Linked DNA regions of Caenorhabditis elegans. The protein of the gene in region 2 interacts with the protein of the main gene of each other region in a pairwise test. Each region holds a gene or a part of one and is shown on either strand. Other genes may lie near its edges.

What was found.
Region 1: the proteins of ccm-3 (region 2) and flp-9 interact in a two-hybrid assay, tested with the Caenorhabditis elegans proteins (one large-scale study listed by BioGRID).
Region 3: the proteins of ccm-3 (region 2) and C06E7.4 interact in a two-hybrid assay, tested with the Caenorhabditis elegans proteins (one large-scale study listed by BioGRID).

The regions. Positions count from the first base shown.
Region 1 is NC_003282.8:12,753,745-12,760,139, reverse strand, and holds flp-9 (KPSFVRF-amide 2), read left to right. Parts: upstream 1-2,569; 5' UTR 2,570-2,637; coding exon 2,638-2,700; intron 2,701-4,169; coding exon 4,170-4,277; intron 4,278-5,188; coding exon 5,189-5,326; 3' UTR 5,327-5,582; downstream 5,583-6,395. UniProt on the Caenorhabditis elegans protein: FMRFamides and FMRFamide-like peptides are neuropeptides. KPSFVRF-amide: Has no effect on somatic body wall muscle, inhibits contraction of vaginal vera muscle, and inhibits the activity of the dissected pharyngeal myogenic muscle system.
Region 2 is NC_003280.10:10,604,702-10,609,504, forward strand, and holds ccm-3 (Programmed cell death protein 10 homolog), read right to left. Parts: upstream 2,575-4,803; 5' UTR 2,565-2,574; coding exon 2,491-2,564; intron 2,435-2,490; coding exon 2,392-2,434; intron 2,310-2,391; coding exon 2,110-2,309; intron 2,055-2,109; coding exon 1,805-2,054; intron 1,505-1,804; coding exon 1,424-1,504; 3' UTR 1,016-1,423; downstream 1-1,015. Other genes in the region: taf-13 (Transcription initiation factor TFIID subunit 13), read right to left, coding at 398-631, 770-901. UniProt on the Caenorhabditis elegans protein: Involved in excretory canal elongation during postembryonic development. Plays a role in promoting Golgi stability, ER integrity and vesicle transport probably by regulating the activation of Rho GTPase cdc-42. Involved in fertility.
Region 3 is NC_003282.8:5,856,761-5,862,591, reverse strand, and holds the start of C06E7.4 (SH2 domain-containing protein), read left to right. Parts: upstream 1-2,615; coding exon 2,616-3,109; intron 3,110-3,565; exon of another isoform or gene 3,566-3,586; intron 3,587-3,975; exon of another isoform or gene 3,976-4,260; intron 4,261-4,578; exon of another isoform or gene 4,579-4,602; intron 4,603-4,715; exon of another isoform or gene 4,716-4,736; intron 4,737-5,234; exon of another isoform or gene 5,235-5,256; intron 5,257-5,831.

The DNA.
Region 1 (6,395 bases), on a different chromosome or scaffold from region 2:
ATTTACCCGGAATTTCAAAACTTTCAAGCTTTGCAAATTCTTAAAAAATGGAACACGCCTTTAACTCTTTTCCCCCTATTCATAAAGATTTCTCCGGTGCGGAATAACAATATCTCTCTTCCGGACGGACACGCACATCACTTTTATATTTGGAAGGAAAAAATGTTCCGTGTTTCCAAAATTAGTACCAACCGCTCTCTACTCGAAAACGGAGTATAGAAGAGGAGTTCAAAATGAAAAATTGAAGACACTTTGTCATTGGCTTTATGGGTTTGTTACTGAAGAGTAGGGGCAGCTGGAGGAGGAGGAGAACAAGAAACATCATTTTCTCGTATTTTCGACAAGGACATGCAACATTGTTCTTTCTTGCAAAAATGGGAATATTTTTTGATTTGCAAACCTCCTAATCGGCATGTTAACGGCTGAAGCGTTTTGAGGGTGTCTCTCACTCGCCCTTTTAACGGTAATCTTGTGTGTCATGTATTGTCACATATTTTAAACCATCAGTATATTTTGTGTTTTTATTATTTAATTGAATTTTTTTAAAGGTAATTTCCGGCCTAGAGTGAGGCGAGGCTGGTAAAAAACTAAAATGAAATTTCAATTCTGATTTCACGGCTGAACTTTTATCGGATCTTTTTCTGAAATTTTATAACAAAATCCCAACATCGAAAAACTTTATGTTTTTAAAAAATTGTTGAAGCTTTATCTATCCGTCTCCCGCGAAAAAAATTCCTAAGAAGTCCCGCCGCTTATTGGCTTAGCCAAATTTTTTCGTTTTTTTTTTCGATTCATATTTTAGGGCTCCCGCTGGAAATTTTTCGGAATACACTATTTTTTTGTGGTCAAAATTTGAGAACATCTGTTACTCTTTAATAAATTCTAGTTCACATAAAAAATTTGAATTGTATTCCAATCATCGTGCACTTCATTTCAATCACCCACCAGAACTCCCACCTGAATTCAATGAATACTCAGAACGAGTAGAACTTCATATTCAAATTGAATAAACTTTCAGGTTTCTTTTTTGAATACCCAAATAAAGAGATTCAAAGAGGGAGGTGTAACGGGAAGATATTTTTGGTTTTGAATCTGAATAGCTATTATTTTCAAAAAATGATCAAAATAACTTTATTTTGTTAAGGCTGATAATAGAGAAAATATTGGTATTTGGCATTGGGCACATTTTTTTATATCTAAAACTAAAAAGTTAACTTTTTTGTTACGAAATTAGATTTTTTAACATTAGGAACAATAAAGTTTGTCGGTTTTCTTTCAAGTGGACCCGCCTGCCTGTCTTTTAGTCGACATATAGGCTTGCTCTTGCCTTTGCAATTTTGTCAGTTTTCAAGAAATACTGTAAGATTTTATATTTTGAATACCTTCTTAGAATCCCAGGTTTCCTAAAATATCGTATGCGATTTAGATTAGTTTCTGAAATCACAAAAAAAAATCTCTTTACGAGTTCCTAGAGCAGTATTACCAAATATTTCTATTTCAGTGAGTATATACCTATTTACGTGGGCTTTAATGACTTTCAATTATATATTTCTGATTTGTTTTATTAGAATGGGGAAAACGAGAACTCATTGAAACAAAACACATGAAAATTGATCTTGTCAAAAATATTGCAGAAATTTGAGCAAATTGGCAAGATGTGTGGGTGATCTGCTCAAAAAATGTCCTTCTGAGAGAGAAAAAACTAAATTAAAAAGTCATCATAGGCAATTTCATTTTGTCGAGAAATACCATAAATTTTTGGCTACATTTAAAGATTTTTTTAGAAGAATTATATTTTTCTCGCGTTTTTTACCCATTTGCATGTGAATTTTAGAATGAGTTTTTTGCTATTTTTTCGAATTCTCGGCACATGGAAAAATTTGCGTTAATCAATTTTTCTTTATTTCGGTTTCGAGTTTTTTCTCCTGTTTTCCATAAAAATTATAATTTCACTGTACATTTTCCAAATATCTTTCCGATTTTTCCATTTATCAAATCATGAAAAATTTTCCGCGACATATTTAGCACCTAAAAAATATAAGACGGTTAGGCGCGAGGCGGCCAGTTAAAAAGGACTTGAAAGACGGCTTTGTGACGACCAATCTTTAAAATGTTTTCAATAACAAAACCCATAAAGGTGTATTGTCCAAAAAGATTATGACTATTTAGAGGATTATTTAAATCTGATTTTTAAAATAATTGAAGAATTATGTTATTTTTTGGATTTTTAAAAAGTTTTTTTTATACCGGTAAATTCCATTTTTCTTTCCTATTCCTCCTACAATTTGAACTACGATTTTTTCAAAATCTCAATATAAAGTAGATCCTAAATACTTCCTACAGTACCACCATATTTCCCTGAATACTTCCTGATTTTCAAATAAATCTACATAGTAAAGTGCCCCCAACCTACCGAACCCATCATTATCACTTCGAGTCTTCAAAGTGCTCACACGTCATTCTTAAATGTGTGTGTATGTGTGTGCTCAGACTCCGCCCATACGTGTGCTCTCCATTCTCTCTCAGGACTCCGCCCCCATCAAGGCTCACTTCTTTTTCTGGTCTCGTTTCCAGAGAAAAACCCAGCAGCATCGTCTGAAGAAGGGTGAAACATTTTTTGTTTCAAAGAAGAAAAAAATGAATCAATTTTATGCACTATTCCTTGTCGCCTGTATTGCAGCAATGGCAAATGCCTATGAGGTGAGTTAAGATCGGAAAAATATAAATAATCTAAGATCATATTTCTTTCCGCTTCTAAAATTTGTGTGCTGAATTTCTTGAAGCGGAAGGTTCAACTTTTTCGAAAAACGAACAAAATATTATTTGTGCCCCTCCCCCCTGTGCCACCAGGCTCGAAATGAAGCCAATCGTGTGCAAAATAATAGAAAAGGCGCCACCTATAAAATGTGTTTTCGTAAATAAATTTCAAAGTGACTTTCAAGTGTATCTTTGAATTTTTAACAGTAGGCGAATCCTGCCTATTTTTCAAATGTAGGCGTGCCTGCATGTCTGTTAATTACCTAAATTTTGGAAGGTGCTTGTGTAATATACCTGCCCCCGTGGAAATGGTTTGCATTTTTAGGCTTACATTGAAAAAACAGTATTTCTAACATAGAAAGTCTAATAAGTAAGCCTAATTTGGACCAACATGGTCATTAAAATTTTAAAAATGGCTAACATTTTTGGGGCAAAAGACATACCTCAATTTAAGCTGAATTCTGTGAATTTTATTTTTTTAATAGCCCGAATAGAATATTTGTTTTCAAACACAAGATTAGTTTATTTCTCTTCAAAGAAACGTTGAGTCTGGAACGAAATAGCTGAAAAAAAAACGAAATTCGAAATTCTAGGGCTTCGTCTCGTCATCCACTTTCCTAATAATTTGTCGCGATGATTAATTTTTGGAAGCCCATTTTTACCATTTTTAAAAGTTATTACCCCTATCGCAGAATTTAGGTGTGATGAGCATGGTCCGACAGCTACCGGGTTTCGCGCCAAATTATAAAGCATGCGTGTTTTAAGAGGTTAAAAATAGTGCGGCGCGGAACCGGGCAGTTGTCGGCCGAACTTAGAAATTTGAGATTTGTTCAGAAAATGCCACCAGGCTATCCGAATTTTTTCGAAGTTTTTTGACCTACGTGGATATCCGCGCCTTTACATTAACCAACTTAAAGTTTACATATTCTATAACTTCCTTATAGTTTCAACACCTATTTTCATCCAGTAGCAACATCCGTTTTATGTAATACTTTGAAAATGTTAAAGTGAGCCACTAATGAGCACAAGGATTACATTCTTCGTCGTCACCCTTCTCCTTTTATTTTGCTGCTTTCGATGCTTCAGAGTGATGCTCTTGTGCTCAGTCTACCGTTCAAAATCAAATTTTAAGATTCTTCTATCTCTTTTTCGTACAAAAAGTTGATTAAAGTGATGATGACATCATTCAAAGTCACGAGAAGTTTAAAATTGATTGAATAAACAAAACAAAAATCCGTAAGAAAACCTAGACATACCCTATTGGGAGATCGCAGGGCTCACGGGTTGCTCCTGCTACTGCTCGACGACAAAAATCTCATTAGTTTTTATTGGTGCGGCGGGTGTAGATTTGCGGCGTTGATTATACGTGGGAATATGTTAAATTACATACATACTTGAGCTCTATTTTTCAGGAGCCAGATTTGGATGCACTCGCCGAGTTCTGTGGAAAGGAATCGAATCGAAAGTACTGTGATCAAATTGCACAACTCGCCACTCAGCACGCAATCGGTATTAATCAGGTGAGAATGATGACGTCATACTGGGACCTTGAGATATTGGCGGCCACGGTCGCATTGACATTAATATATTCTATATTCTTGAAATAATTTTTTGAAAATTAAAGACAAACTCAAATGTAATGTCCTATTCTAAAACTATGGCCAATTCCATTTTACTTACAAAAAATTCAAATTAGCGCTCAATAAATGCGCCGACCAATCAGCGACCTTGGTCACGCCTTTTGCACGTCGCTGATTGGTCGGCGTTTCGTTTTTTTTAAATTTTAGCGGGATATATTGAAGTTTCAATAATGAAATTTATCTTCTAAAAAACACATTTTGAGGAAAATTTTCGACTGAATAACTTTTTGCACATTTTCGGAATTGGGGAGAAAAACATCTAAGAATAAAATAAGAAAAGGAGCTCCTCAAAAATTGATAAATTCCAAAAATACACGCTTCTCTGAAATGTTAAATTGTGACTAGAAGCACTGAATAATTATAAAGTTCATGTTATAGAATTAGAAAAATTATGATTTAATTTAATAAGAATATGGTAACGGCCTCAACGCGACAGAAAATGTTTTAATGGAGGCTACGAAAAGTGTATGCGCCTTTAAAACATTATTTTTTACACACTATTTTCGAGAGCCTTACTTTACATTTTTTAACGTTTCTAGATCAGAAATGCCGTTGAAAATGTTATATATTATTTGCTTTTTCAGTTAAAGGAAGTTTTAAAATTATAATTTTTGAAAAATCGTAAGAAAAACTAAAAATGGTCATCTCGTGACTTTCAAAAATAAATAAAAACGTCTCGTCTAAAAATTGCGGAATTCCCCACAACTGATAATGAGAAAATATTAATTCTGCCACCAAACCTATAACTTCTTGTATTTATCTAAACAATTCAAGAATTTTCTAATTTGCAGGAGCAAGTCCGAATGGAAAAGCGGAAGCCGTCGTTCGTCCGTTTCGGAAAACGTTCAGGATACCCGCTGGTAATTGATGACGAGGAAATGCGTATGGACAAGAGAAAGCCATCATTTGTTCGATTTGGAAGAAAGTAGATAGATATGTCTTGTTGATTATTCTGGAAACATCTTGGATCTATTTTTGATCTCTCTCTCTCTCTCACACACAGCTGCTCACTACGTTTTCTTCTCGATTGTTCCCATCTAGATTTCTGGCCCTCATACCGTTCATTCATTCTTCTCTCCCATCCCCTTACCCCTCTTCAACTTTTATGGTAACCTGAGAATTTGTGAAAATCAAAAAAAAATCAAGTTTTCATGTTGATATGTGCAATAAAATGTGTTACATGTGTGTGCGTTGGTGCCATTTGAATCAGGAAATTTTTATCATTTTTTTATTTCAAAAGGAATTGCTATTATAAAGGATTATCTCAACAAAACATAAAGATTGAGTTGTTTGCTTTTCACTGAAAAAAACTGAAAATTTGAGAAAAAAAAATCGAAAAATCTGAACTCCCGCGCAGAACAGAAAGCGTCGACCAATCAGCGACAGAGACAACGCCCCTTACGCATCGCTCATTGGTAAGCGAAATAGAGTTTGAGCCTTTAAATGTAAGGTGTACAGTAGTTTCCATTTATACATTTTTGTCTGGAAACCTAATTAAAGCATGGTGAACTAGAAAATTGCATTGCGAAATGTCTAAAAAAAAGTTTTTTTACTGCAAAAGAAATTACTGTACTCCTTAAAGGCACACACTTTTTTTTCCAAATTTTTGTGTCTATCGTTGCATTGGGTTCTCAGTTTTGTGCTCAAATAAAAATAGATTCAATCTTTCAGTGATGCCTGTAATTATTTGAACATTTTAGGAAAAATTGTATTTCTAGATAATTATTATTTTTTGAATATCCCCTTTCGTGTTTCATACCTAACAATATTCCTTCGCGCGGGAATTTAATGATCAGCAAACTTTAAAGTTTTACACACTTTAAGGATGACTTCTTTCTGAATACTTGGGAAAAACAATACTTGATACATGTGTGGGTGTTTTGGTGTCATTTAAACCAGAACATCTTTATCTCAAGTATCGTTAAAAATCTAAATTAGCTTTTTTGAAAAAGATTACTATAAGATGGATTATTTGAACAAAACATAAAGCTTAGAAAG
Region 2 (4,803 bases):
GTGTGTTGAAATTTACAATTCAAACAAAAGTAAGGCAGGGAAATTAATTTGGAAATAAAAGAAGTTTGTGGCGCAACTTTTCAGGAGCAATGTTCTGCTCCTCGTGAGCCCCATATCCAGAATGCAAATTATCTTAGCCATGAGGAATTTGATCGTTAAATTGTTCAGGAAAAAATATTATCTAGTACTTTTATACAATTTGCATGGCAGGATGTCTACGTTGTCGCAGGTGCATTTGTGTTTTTATTTTTCCTGACAAGTACGCATTTAAAATTGCCTGAAAAGTTGTCTTCTGTCGTTTTACTTGGATTTCTGTAAATACTATACGTTCAAAGAAAAACATTCATGATGGGGGTTTCAATAATATAAAATTCAAATAACCGAGATCAATACAAATTTACAATTGTGGTTTCATATCTTCGAACTGCTTTCTTGCCTTCTTCAACTCTTCCGACATTGACAACAGATCCTTGACTCTCGAGAACTTCTTCGGATCACGACGAATCAGATAGTGAATGTCCTCAAGTGCCATTTTATCCGGTTTTCCAACTTTCATCGCCAGTTGGCATAACTCTTTGATGTAGTTTAGGACAATGGCCTCAAGAGTGTCCAGGGTCTTGTCGTATGGCTCCTGAAACATTTATTTATAAACAATTCAGGAAATTATCAATCGGAATCTTAGAAAAACCGCTCATTTAATTTCTTTTTAATTTGTTATAGAAATGCAAATAAATTTTGATTCAAAAAGTTGCACAGCCCTGTTACCAACCTTATCATCTCCAAAGCCATAGACCATTGATCTCAAATCTCGTCTCAGCACGTGCTTCTTATCCTCCGGATTTACCACCTTCTCCTTGTCATCTTCGGCATCCGAGCCGAACAGATCCTCTTCGTCATCCATTTTTTAAATTCTGAAATTAATTTAAAATTGGTCTGAAATTTTTTAAAGTGAAGTTAATTAGATATATAATAAGTTTTCGACAACAAGAATTGCAATACAGTCAATTAAAATATTAAAAATTTCTGAATAATTTATCACGTTATTTGGAGAAGAAACCGACTTATGGAAAAAAATCTAGTACATCAGTGGGTGAAAAAACGAGGAAAAATCAAAGAAAGGCACATGAAAAAGAAAGGAAGAATGATAATTGAGCTACTTATTACAATATTTTTGAAGTGAAAAAAATCCGAAAAACCATATAAAGCATAATACGTTAATCATTTTCCTAAAATTTCAGTCAATAAACAGAAAATTGGGAAAGGAAAAATCATAGAAAGAAGAAAGTGTGCAGATCCGATGTATAAAGTGATGAGTGTGTGGATGAGAACAAGAAATTAAGTGAACAAAAAATGAAAGTAAAACACATGCAAAAGGAAAGAGCCGTCTAGTAGATCACAGTTATAAGCCGCCATATGGGTGAGCTTATCCTCGGCGAAGTTTTTCGTTGATTGTGCGGACTATCATTGTCGTTTGGAAAACCAGTTGGTTGGCGGACACGGATACCTGCAAACATTGAATTTAGGCTCAGAATTTGTTTTAAAAAAATGGATTTTAATATTATTCAAGAATTTAGTTTGATTTTCCCAAGATTTGGGGAAAATTTACAGGTTTTTATTTTAAAAAAAAGTCCAAATTTGCCGAATATCGATGTGAAAAAATTAAAAAAAAATCTCCCTGATTTTATATTTCAGTGCGAATTTTTTCCCAGAAAAACCGGGGCTTTTGAATTTTTCACATAGATATTCGGAGTCAAGGACAAATTTCGACGCATTTAAGTAAAAAAGCACATTTTTTCCCACGAACCTGATTTGCATTCTGATCTTTAAAATACGTCTTCAAAGTGTTACTGAATCTTTTCGAGTAGTGCACAAATTCCCGTTTACGTTTCTCAACGGCCGGCTGCGCAGTGAGTGGAACAATTCTGTAGACGGCGTTTATTGCCTCAAGAAGTTTCTTGATTGATGATGCGATGAGCTTGATGGTCTCCAGGAAGGCGTGACGATCCGACATTTCTTCGGGAACCCGGGACAGAACACGACGAAGCTCGATTGCTCTGTAATTTTTTTCGTACGCCAGGAATTTTGAAAAAAATTATCTAATTTGATTACCGTTTCGTGAGCTCTTTATAATCAGCATTCTGCTCATATCCACTGACAATCAAATCATTTGTCGGCGAGGTGTCATGCATTCTCAGATAGGATTCCTGCAGATTAACGCTCAATTCCGAGTCATCCAGCAAAACTTTTGTGAAATCATAGAGAAACGACGGAGAAGCTTGTTCACAAGTGGTCAGTGCAGTGTGCAGTTTCTGAATAATTCTTTGTTAATTTATTTTTTTTCGTTTAACAGTATAAAATTCATAGAAAATATTCTTATATAGAATAGCTTACGTTTAGGGCGAGAGAAGCTCTTGGATCATCACGATGTTGCTGTCTAAAATATATTTTTTAAATTATTATGTTTAAAAACTGATATTTCTTGAAACCCACTTAATTTTTTCCATCACAGGACTGTACAGGCATTGATATGTCATCGCTCCAAGATATCCACCCTCTTCGTTCATTGTGAAACTGCTGAAATGAAAATCATGATTTTTGAGTGAATTTTAAGAGGAGAAAGCTGTGTTAAAAAAGGAAAAACCCGCATACGATCGATTTGCATCGCAAATACATACAGAAATCAAAAGCGGAGAGAGACGCAGATAATAAGGCGAAAAGTTGGAGAAATACAGAGGAAAACGAGGAGAGTAAATATAGGAAGAAAGTGAACGGTCGGAAAGGAATGTGAAAGCAGAATTCGAATTCCTTGGAGAAACTTATGAGTCATTATAATAATAATAATAACGGTTTTTATCGGTTTCGCATGATAACCCACCCAGAAATCGATGCAATTGTTTTTTAATAGTTGAATTAATATTGTGAAATATAAGAAATAACATTAAATATGTTTTTTACTTGAAAAAATAATGAAAATCGCAAAAAATTGATAAAATCTGTTAAAAAAAGAACGAAAAAAAAAAAATTTAAATGAAATGTTCGCATTGGAGCGCACTTGCTGGCACCAGAGATGCTGCAGATTTCGAGATGAACAATTCTGGAGAACAAAGTTCTTGGAAAAATTTTAATATTCGACGTTAAAAATATATTTTATTAGTGCTTAATTTTTTAAATAATCAATTCAATCGCGAAAATGTGAACAAAATGTTTTTACTCAACTCAGACCTCGGTGGAGGTAAAATTTTGCAAATTTTGAAATAATGAATCTTTCAATTTTTAGCCTAGTGCACTAGCTAGTGTTATTTAGACATATAAATGCAGATTTTGCAAATAATAATCTCTGAGAATAAACAACGATTTCCAATATTCAATCAGATTTTCCTGAAAATATATTTTTTTAATTATAATTGTCCAGATCTGGCCAGATAAATTTCATGATTTTTCCCAAAGAATACGGTAGCAGGTCTCGTCAAATTTTCGCACACAAAAAGGTGTGTGCCTTTAAAGAGTACTGTAACTTCAAATTTTTGTTTCAGTGGATGTATTAAAGTTTTTTTTGTAAACTTTTCGAAAAATAAAAAGTTCTTCATCGAAAAATTAGTGGAAAATTATTTTTTCGTAAATCAATAAAAAGAAATTACAGTAATCTCTAAAGGCACACTCACTTTTCTATTTAATGATGGTGTTTCGCGACGAGACCCGGTGCCGTATTTCTGGGGACTCTATTATATTTTCAGCCCACCAGTGAAGGATATCTGTCAATAAAATTATGATATAGTAAAGAATCTCCGGAAAACAAGAAGTCACAAGTCCAATTCCCATCAATCTGCGTCTCAAAATCTTCCGTAATATCTTTTTTCTCCCGGCTGTCCGTCTCATCTTCCGTGTCATTCCTGCCGATCAATAGGAGATCCACTATTCACACCTTTGTTACGCTTCAGAGTATATTAACAATAGAGTCGAGAAAAAAACATTGAAATTTGTTTCATTTTATTGTCTTTTCTTTTCTAAATTGCTCTCAAAAAATGTGCTGATTTCATTTTTCTAGATGTTTCCTTTGGTCAAAGGTTTCGAGAAAAAACCAGTTCCCATTCCAAAAAATAGGTAATAAAATTGCGAACATGTACATTCAAGGTATAGACTCCCAATCAGGAAATCTCATTTCCTGTGATAATTCTGTTCTCTGACCGAGTTTCATCTTTTTTTTTTGTATTTGGTATTAATATATGGTCAAAGGCATAGCCGATCATAGATCAAACATTTTCAAAACAAAATAAAACTTGTTGTTTGATGATTCAATTTTTTCAAATTTTCGAATAATTGTTTAGCCTGTTTCCAAAAAATGTTAACTTTGAACTCGCGCTCATTCTTATTTGACGACATTTACGCCAAAAACACGGTACCCGGTCTCGACACGACAAATTTTTGTTTCCTGCTAAATTCGACAAGGTGTGCTCCTTTAAAGAGTACTGTAATAAAATCGTTGTAGAATTTTCACCGATTTTACATATGTTTGAGATTCCTATAAATAAAAATATTTTATGCACAAAATGTAAGAGCAATTCCGTTACAACTTTAAAGGCGAACACTTTTTCGAGTTTAACAAAAATGTCGCATTGAGACCGGGTACCGTATTTTAGTCGCAGGAATTGCAAAATTTGGAGTCCAGGCAATAAAAAGGGTTCAAGAATTTTTTGATCTTGTTTCTTGGGGAAATTTTTATAAGAAATTCACAGCACTGAAGTGAAATTTATGACTTAAAATTTCTCAGATGTTACATTTAACATTTTTCGAATTTTTTCCAAT
Region 3 (5,831 bases), on a different chromosome or scaffold from region 2:
CAAAAAACTGCCCAATCAACAATTAATATTTTGGCTGTCAATTCGAAATGTTTTTGAAACATGAGAAATTGAATGTATTAGGGGTGTCAATAAGTTCCGGGTCAAAATTCATAACTTTTTTCGTGACGAATCGATTTTTCTGAAAATGTGGGAATTTATGTTATCAAATATGGTCTTTCATTTGACAATACTTTTAAAAAGTTTTGACCACTCCATGTATCCCAGCTCGGTGCCACTTTTTTTCAGGCGTCGGCCCGATTTCGCTTCTTTTTAACTTTCATTTGAGACTTATGTGCGGATTTTGATTAATTAAGTATACATTGTAAGAATACAATAATAATTTGAGAAAAAACTCGTTCAAAAATGTTTTTAGTGGATCGTCAAAAAAATCTTCGAAACAATTTTTGTCGAAAATTCTTGATTTTTTGTACAGAAATGATACAACCAAGTTTGAGTAATTTTTCAACATACAAAACATTTCAATTTAATGCTTCACACACAAGCGGTAATGGAAAATATTATCTTTGAGTGCGTTTTTTGAAATTTTTGAGAATTTCTCCAAATCTAAACATTAAATTCAAATGTTTAGTATGTTGAAAAATTTTTTAGATTTGGTTGCATCATTCCTGTACAAAAAATCAAGAATTTTCGACAAAAATTTTTTCGAAGATTTTTTCGACGATCCACAAAAAAAAATTTTTTGAACGAGTTTTTTCTCAAATTATTATTGTATTTTTACAATGTATACTTAATCAATCGAAATCCGCACATAAGTCTCAAATGAAAGTTAAAAAGAAGCGAAATCGGGCAGACGCCTGAAAAAAAGTGGCTCCGAGCTGGGATACATGGAGTGGTCAAAATGTTTTGAAAGCACCGTTAAATGGAAGACCATGTTTGATAACATAAATTCCCATATTTTCAGAAAAATTGATTTGCCACGAAAAAAGTTATGAATTTTGACCCGGAACTTATTGACACCCCTAATAGTAGAACTGAAAATACTGTTTCACGACAATATTAAAAGTGGAGTATCAAATGTATACTTAATGTAATAATGCATCTTTGCTCATAAGTTTTTTATTATTTTTTTCTTGGAACTCAAAAATCTACTTTGGTTTTTTATCCTGGAATTGCTAATTTATTTCGGCAATTTCCTTCCACTCAAAAAAAAGCAACCAAAAATTAGAATTATGTTCTCTAATAGTCTTACAGTTTCTAATAATGTTGCGTCGCAAAAAAATGCGGAATTAAACATTGCATGTCATTAAGAAAATACGATATTTTATATTCCGTTACAAATGGGATTCAAGAGTTATACACTACAGACATTATGATAAACTTGATTATAAAAACTTGATGAAACAGTAGAAAAATAATGTAATTAACTCTTATTTCCACCTCGAATTGCTCCTCGTGAGCTTCCTCCACAAAAAAGAGCTTCACCCCAAAAATGGCAATAATCAAGCTTCCACCATATTCCAGGTGGTCAACACCTGTTCTTCTATCCCGACCCCCTTATTTCACGCGCACCTCTTCCATACAATGCCGGTGTACCGGTAAATTGCGTATTCCATCGCATTCATACCTCTTTCTCTCTTTTTCTTTTCCAGGGGTCCTCTGCCTGCTTATTCTCTCAGTTTCCTGTGCGGAATAAAATCGGAGAGGGCGGAGTCTCCGCCATGCGGGGGGCGCGCGCGTGTAACGAAGAAGAGGTAAATGACTGTGCGGAAAGGAGGGCGAAATGTATGAAATAGTGATGATTTACGAGAGAGCACAGACACTTTTTGCCTCTGGACGGATTGAAGAGAGGTGGATGGAGACGAAGAGAGGGCCGCCCTGAGAAGAGACAGACGCCTCACCATTCATACCTCCTTTTTTACCAATGAAATCGCCTTCTTTTTTTTCTTTTGTTATTTATAAAGATGAAAAAGATTCCAAATTCTGGAACACTATCCCCAAACTTTTTGGTATTTTAATTATTTAACTTTTCGCGTTCTATTTTCACTGCCACCATGTATCCTAGATTTCTAGACTTCTCATGTTTCTACACCTCAATAGCTTCAGCTCTGTAAAAAATAGTTTAAGACCCGTATTTTCTCAGTTTGTTTGTGCCGTTTCACTCTATGCATTTATCCCTTGGGTAATATCAACAATAGTTGTGTTTTCATAGGACTGTTTTATCACCTCTGATTTATTTGTAAAGGTACATACCGAAGATTAATCAAAAAGCTTTCTTAAATTTTTTAAATTTCATCAAAAAATGGATTTTTTTTTCGGAATCAGTAGTTGTTTCATGTTACATAATTTGAAATTTATGTTTGTATTTTTTTGGTAAGTCATAACTTTTTAAAAATTCAAACTTTTTTTTTCTGTTTCATCAATGTTGTGAGAATAGTTTCTGCTTCCAAATATTAATTGTTTTTTTTTTGAAAGTTACGTTTTTTGTTATTTCATTCTATTTAGCACATCTAACAGTTCCTACGTGTTGTATTTATTTCAAAGTTATCATGAAACAGTAAATTTTTTAAAAAAATTAATTTTTTCTGGACAATATTTTCGACGATTCTAATTTTCCTCTCGAATCTATTTTTTTCAATTCAAAAAATAATTTTTAGATGGGAAACCGAAGCTCGTCACACTACCCGCCTCCTCCGCATTGGATGCATCAAAGGACATCCTATTCAACAACTACTTCTCCATATCCAGAAGCAAAACAAAGACCAATTGCTCCAGGAGCATTCGCTGAACCTTATATGCATCACAATCCACATCATCCACAATCAAAAGCTCAAATGAGACGATCAATGATCTCTCTGAATGCAGATTCTGGATACATGGGAGGCCCTGATTCTGAAAGGTTACGACAAATGAGAGGATCAAGAATGTCATTGAATCAAATTGATTTCGAACCAGCAATGATGCCTCCACCTAGGATATTGATACCTCCTGATGCAAAGACATTGAAGAAATTGGAGAAGATGGAGAAGAAGCATCAGAAATTAATGAAGAAATTGGGAGCAAGAGGAATTCCGATTCAGATGCCTGTTCCACCACCACCACCAATGCATCCAATGTACTCCAGAGCTATAAGCTATGATGATTTACACAGGTTAGTTTGGTTACTGTTTCAATATTTTCTCTTGTAAATATCAAATCATCTACACAGTTAACTTTGCTGCTATAAAAGGATCAAGAAAAAATTGACGAGTTGGAAAATAGTATTTATTTTTGTTTAAAAGTTAGAAAAAAATCTGAAAAACCTTTCTGGCACTTTCCGGGTTTTTTGACAGAAATAAATCTTATTTTTGAATCGATCAAATATTTTCCCATATTTCGTCTAATAATGATAATTTTTGTCACGCTGACAACGAGTTACTGTAACTCATATCGATTTATGGGTCGATACTTTTTTAGACTGAAATTAAAAAATTTCTGCAAAGATTTCTTATGTAGAAGTATTGTGCAATAGACTATAAAGTTCTCATTTTTAGACTGGAACAGATTCGTAAATTTATTACTGTTTCCCTGTTTTCTTTTTGCAAACCAGGCAACTCTTAAAAGCTATTGGGAATGATAAATGAATGAAGAAATACATGAAACATTTTGATAAACTTGAAAGTAATATTTATTCTTGTTCAAAATGGAAAAAAATCTGAAAAACCGCTTGAAGTTTGATGTTTTCCCAAAAATTTAAAGAACAACTTTCAGAAATTTTTTGAGTTTTTTTCGAGTTGCTCCACAACTTTTTTCTACTAAAAAGTTTGGATTATCATTTTGAAATAATAAATTTTGCCGCACAAGCCCAGGTTAAAATATAACTCTCCCAAAAACTTTCCCTAGACAATATATTCAAATAATTAACGCACTTTTCTCCCGTTTCACCGTTCGTTCAATTGAGTACTCTTTTTTGTCAACTTGACCTTCTTCTCTTCATAGGATTATTATACCTCTAACTTCTTCAACCTTCTTTTTTCCAGCCTTTGAGAAAGATGAATGTCTCTTCTCTTCTTCTTAAGGGGGAAACTTTTCTACTTTCCAGTTTGCCCAGAAAACAAAAAAGAAGCCTCTTCTTCTGTGGTTATTATGAAACATACACCACAACATTCGGTGAAACAAAAAAAGGGGAAAAACTTGTTATCCACGGCCCCATATACCTTTCTTCCATCACTTTCTCTTCAGTTATGACACCATAAAATATGATGATTTGGTGTAGTGTTCTTTAAACAAATGATCGTTCTCTTTTTCTCTTTTGATATCATTTTGATATCATGTAAGGGTATAGCTAATCACCTTTTATCATTTCTATTAGCTTCTTATCACTCCAAAACGAGAGGTTCTATTTACTGTACGGATATGTATTGGGAGAGAAATGACAGGTGGCTCACTTCCACCAAATATTGAGACACGTCAAGGTTGGACATAAGACGAGGAAGGTCAATTTTTGAAGGTAGAAACGGGGAATGAATACCAACTTTTCCCCTATATGTGAGCGGTTTCTATTCTTGTGGACAACGTAATTAAGATGTATTATGGGAGGTCGAGATGTGTTGATGTGTGAATGTGTTTTGATTTTGGTTACCTGTTGTAAATTCCTTGTTGTTATTCTCGATACAAGAAAGTAACATTTATAATGGGAAGCTGAAACACGATATTCATTTTTTTTAATTTAATGTTTCACAGAATAAACAAAGGTTGTCTTGAAAAAAATTATCTACTAGATAACCGATCAAATCTTGCAACGCTTTCTGAAACAGGAATATATTGACAACTTTCCTGAATTTAAAACTGACAATTTCTTGTAAATTGGCACCACCGAATTGCAAGCATCTATTTTTCGAAAAAAATAAAATTCTATATTTTTTTCTTCAAAGACTAAATAAAAATTATTTCGTTAATCTTAAAATAACGTTCATTTTAGTGAACCCTAATTTGAAAATGTGCTCAAAAAATCCTGAAAATTATGTTTTCGAGTTTTTTTTAACGCTTTTAAAAACTTTTTGTTAATTTTCAACTGAACTTGCTGCCATTTTCAGCTTAACCAAGTACTTTTTTGTAATCGAAACTGAATTCTAATGAAACTTATTGAAAATTTGGTAGAGTTAGTGAAAAATTACTGCTAGAATAAGTGGATACGTTATAAATTGAGAAAAAACTTTTTTAAAAATTGTTTTTAAATAATTTTCGTTTAATGTTTCAACGTTTCTATAAGTTTCGAATTTTTTACAAGATCTCGATTGATAGCTTTCATCTATTCAACAGGACTTCCATGGTAAACATGAGTTGTTTCAAGTCCTGCCTGGTGCCTGGTGCCACACGTGTATTATCAACAAAAAAAAACGTAGGTCGCCTTCATGTCAGGCAGGCAGTTTTGGCGCCTACATGAAAGCCCTACACTCTCTCCGTTGCATTGTACACAAAAACCGAACACATTTGCACCTATTTGGACACATTTGACCTGCGATCTCCGTTCATTTGAGATTGTTTCGGTCAACAAATACATACACGTAAATGCAAATGTGTAGAAGGTGTCAAAGCGGAACATTGTTTGCTCGGAAGAAGAATAAGATGAAGGACTCTCATTACTGTTTGTATGTGTGTGTGTGTAGTATGTCTGAACCATTTACCGCCACCTTTATGAGTTTCTTGGAGAAGGAACGGGGTGTTTTTGGGTGAATTTGATGTTTTTAATAGATTTTTACAAAAAATTTATTTACAGTTTCTCAAAAAAATGAAGATATCTTCAAACAAGATATCAGTAATTGTTTGCCAGATTTATATTTGCACTTTATTCTTCTTCCGGGTGTACAATTTCCAATTGATATAGGGCAATC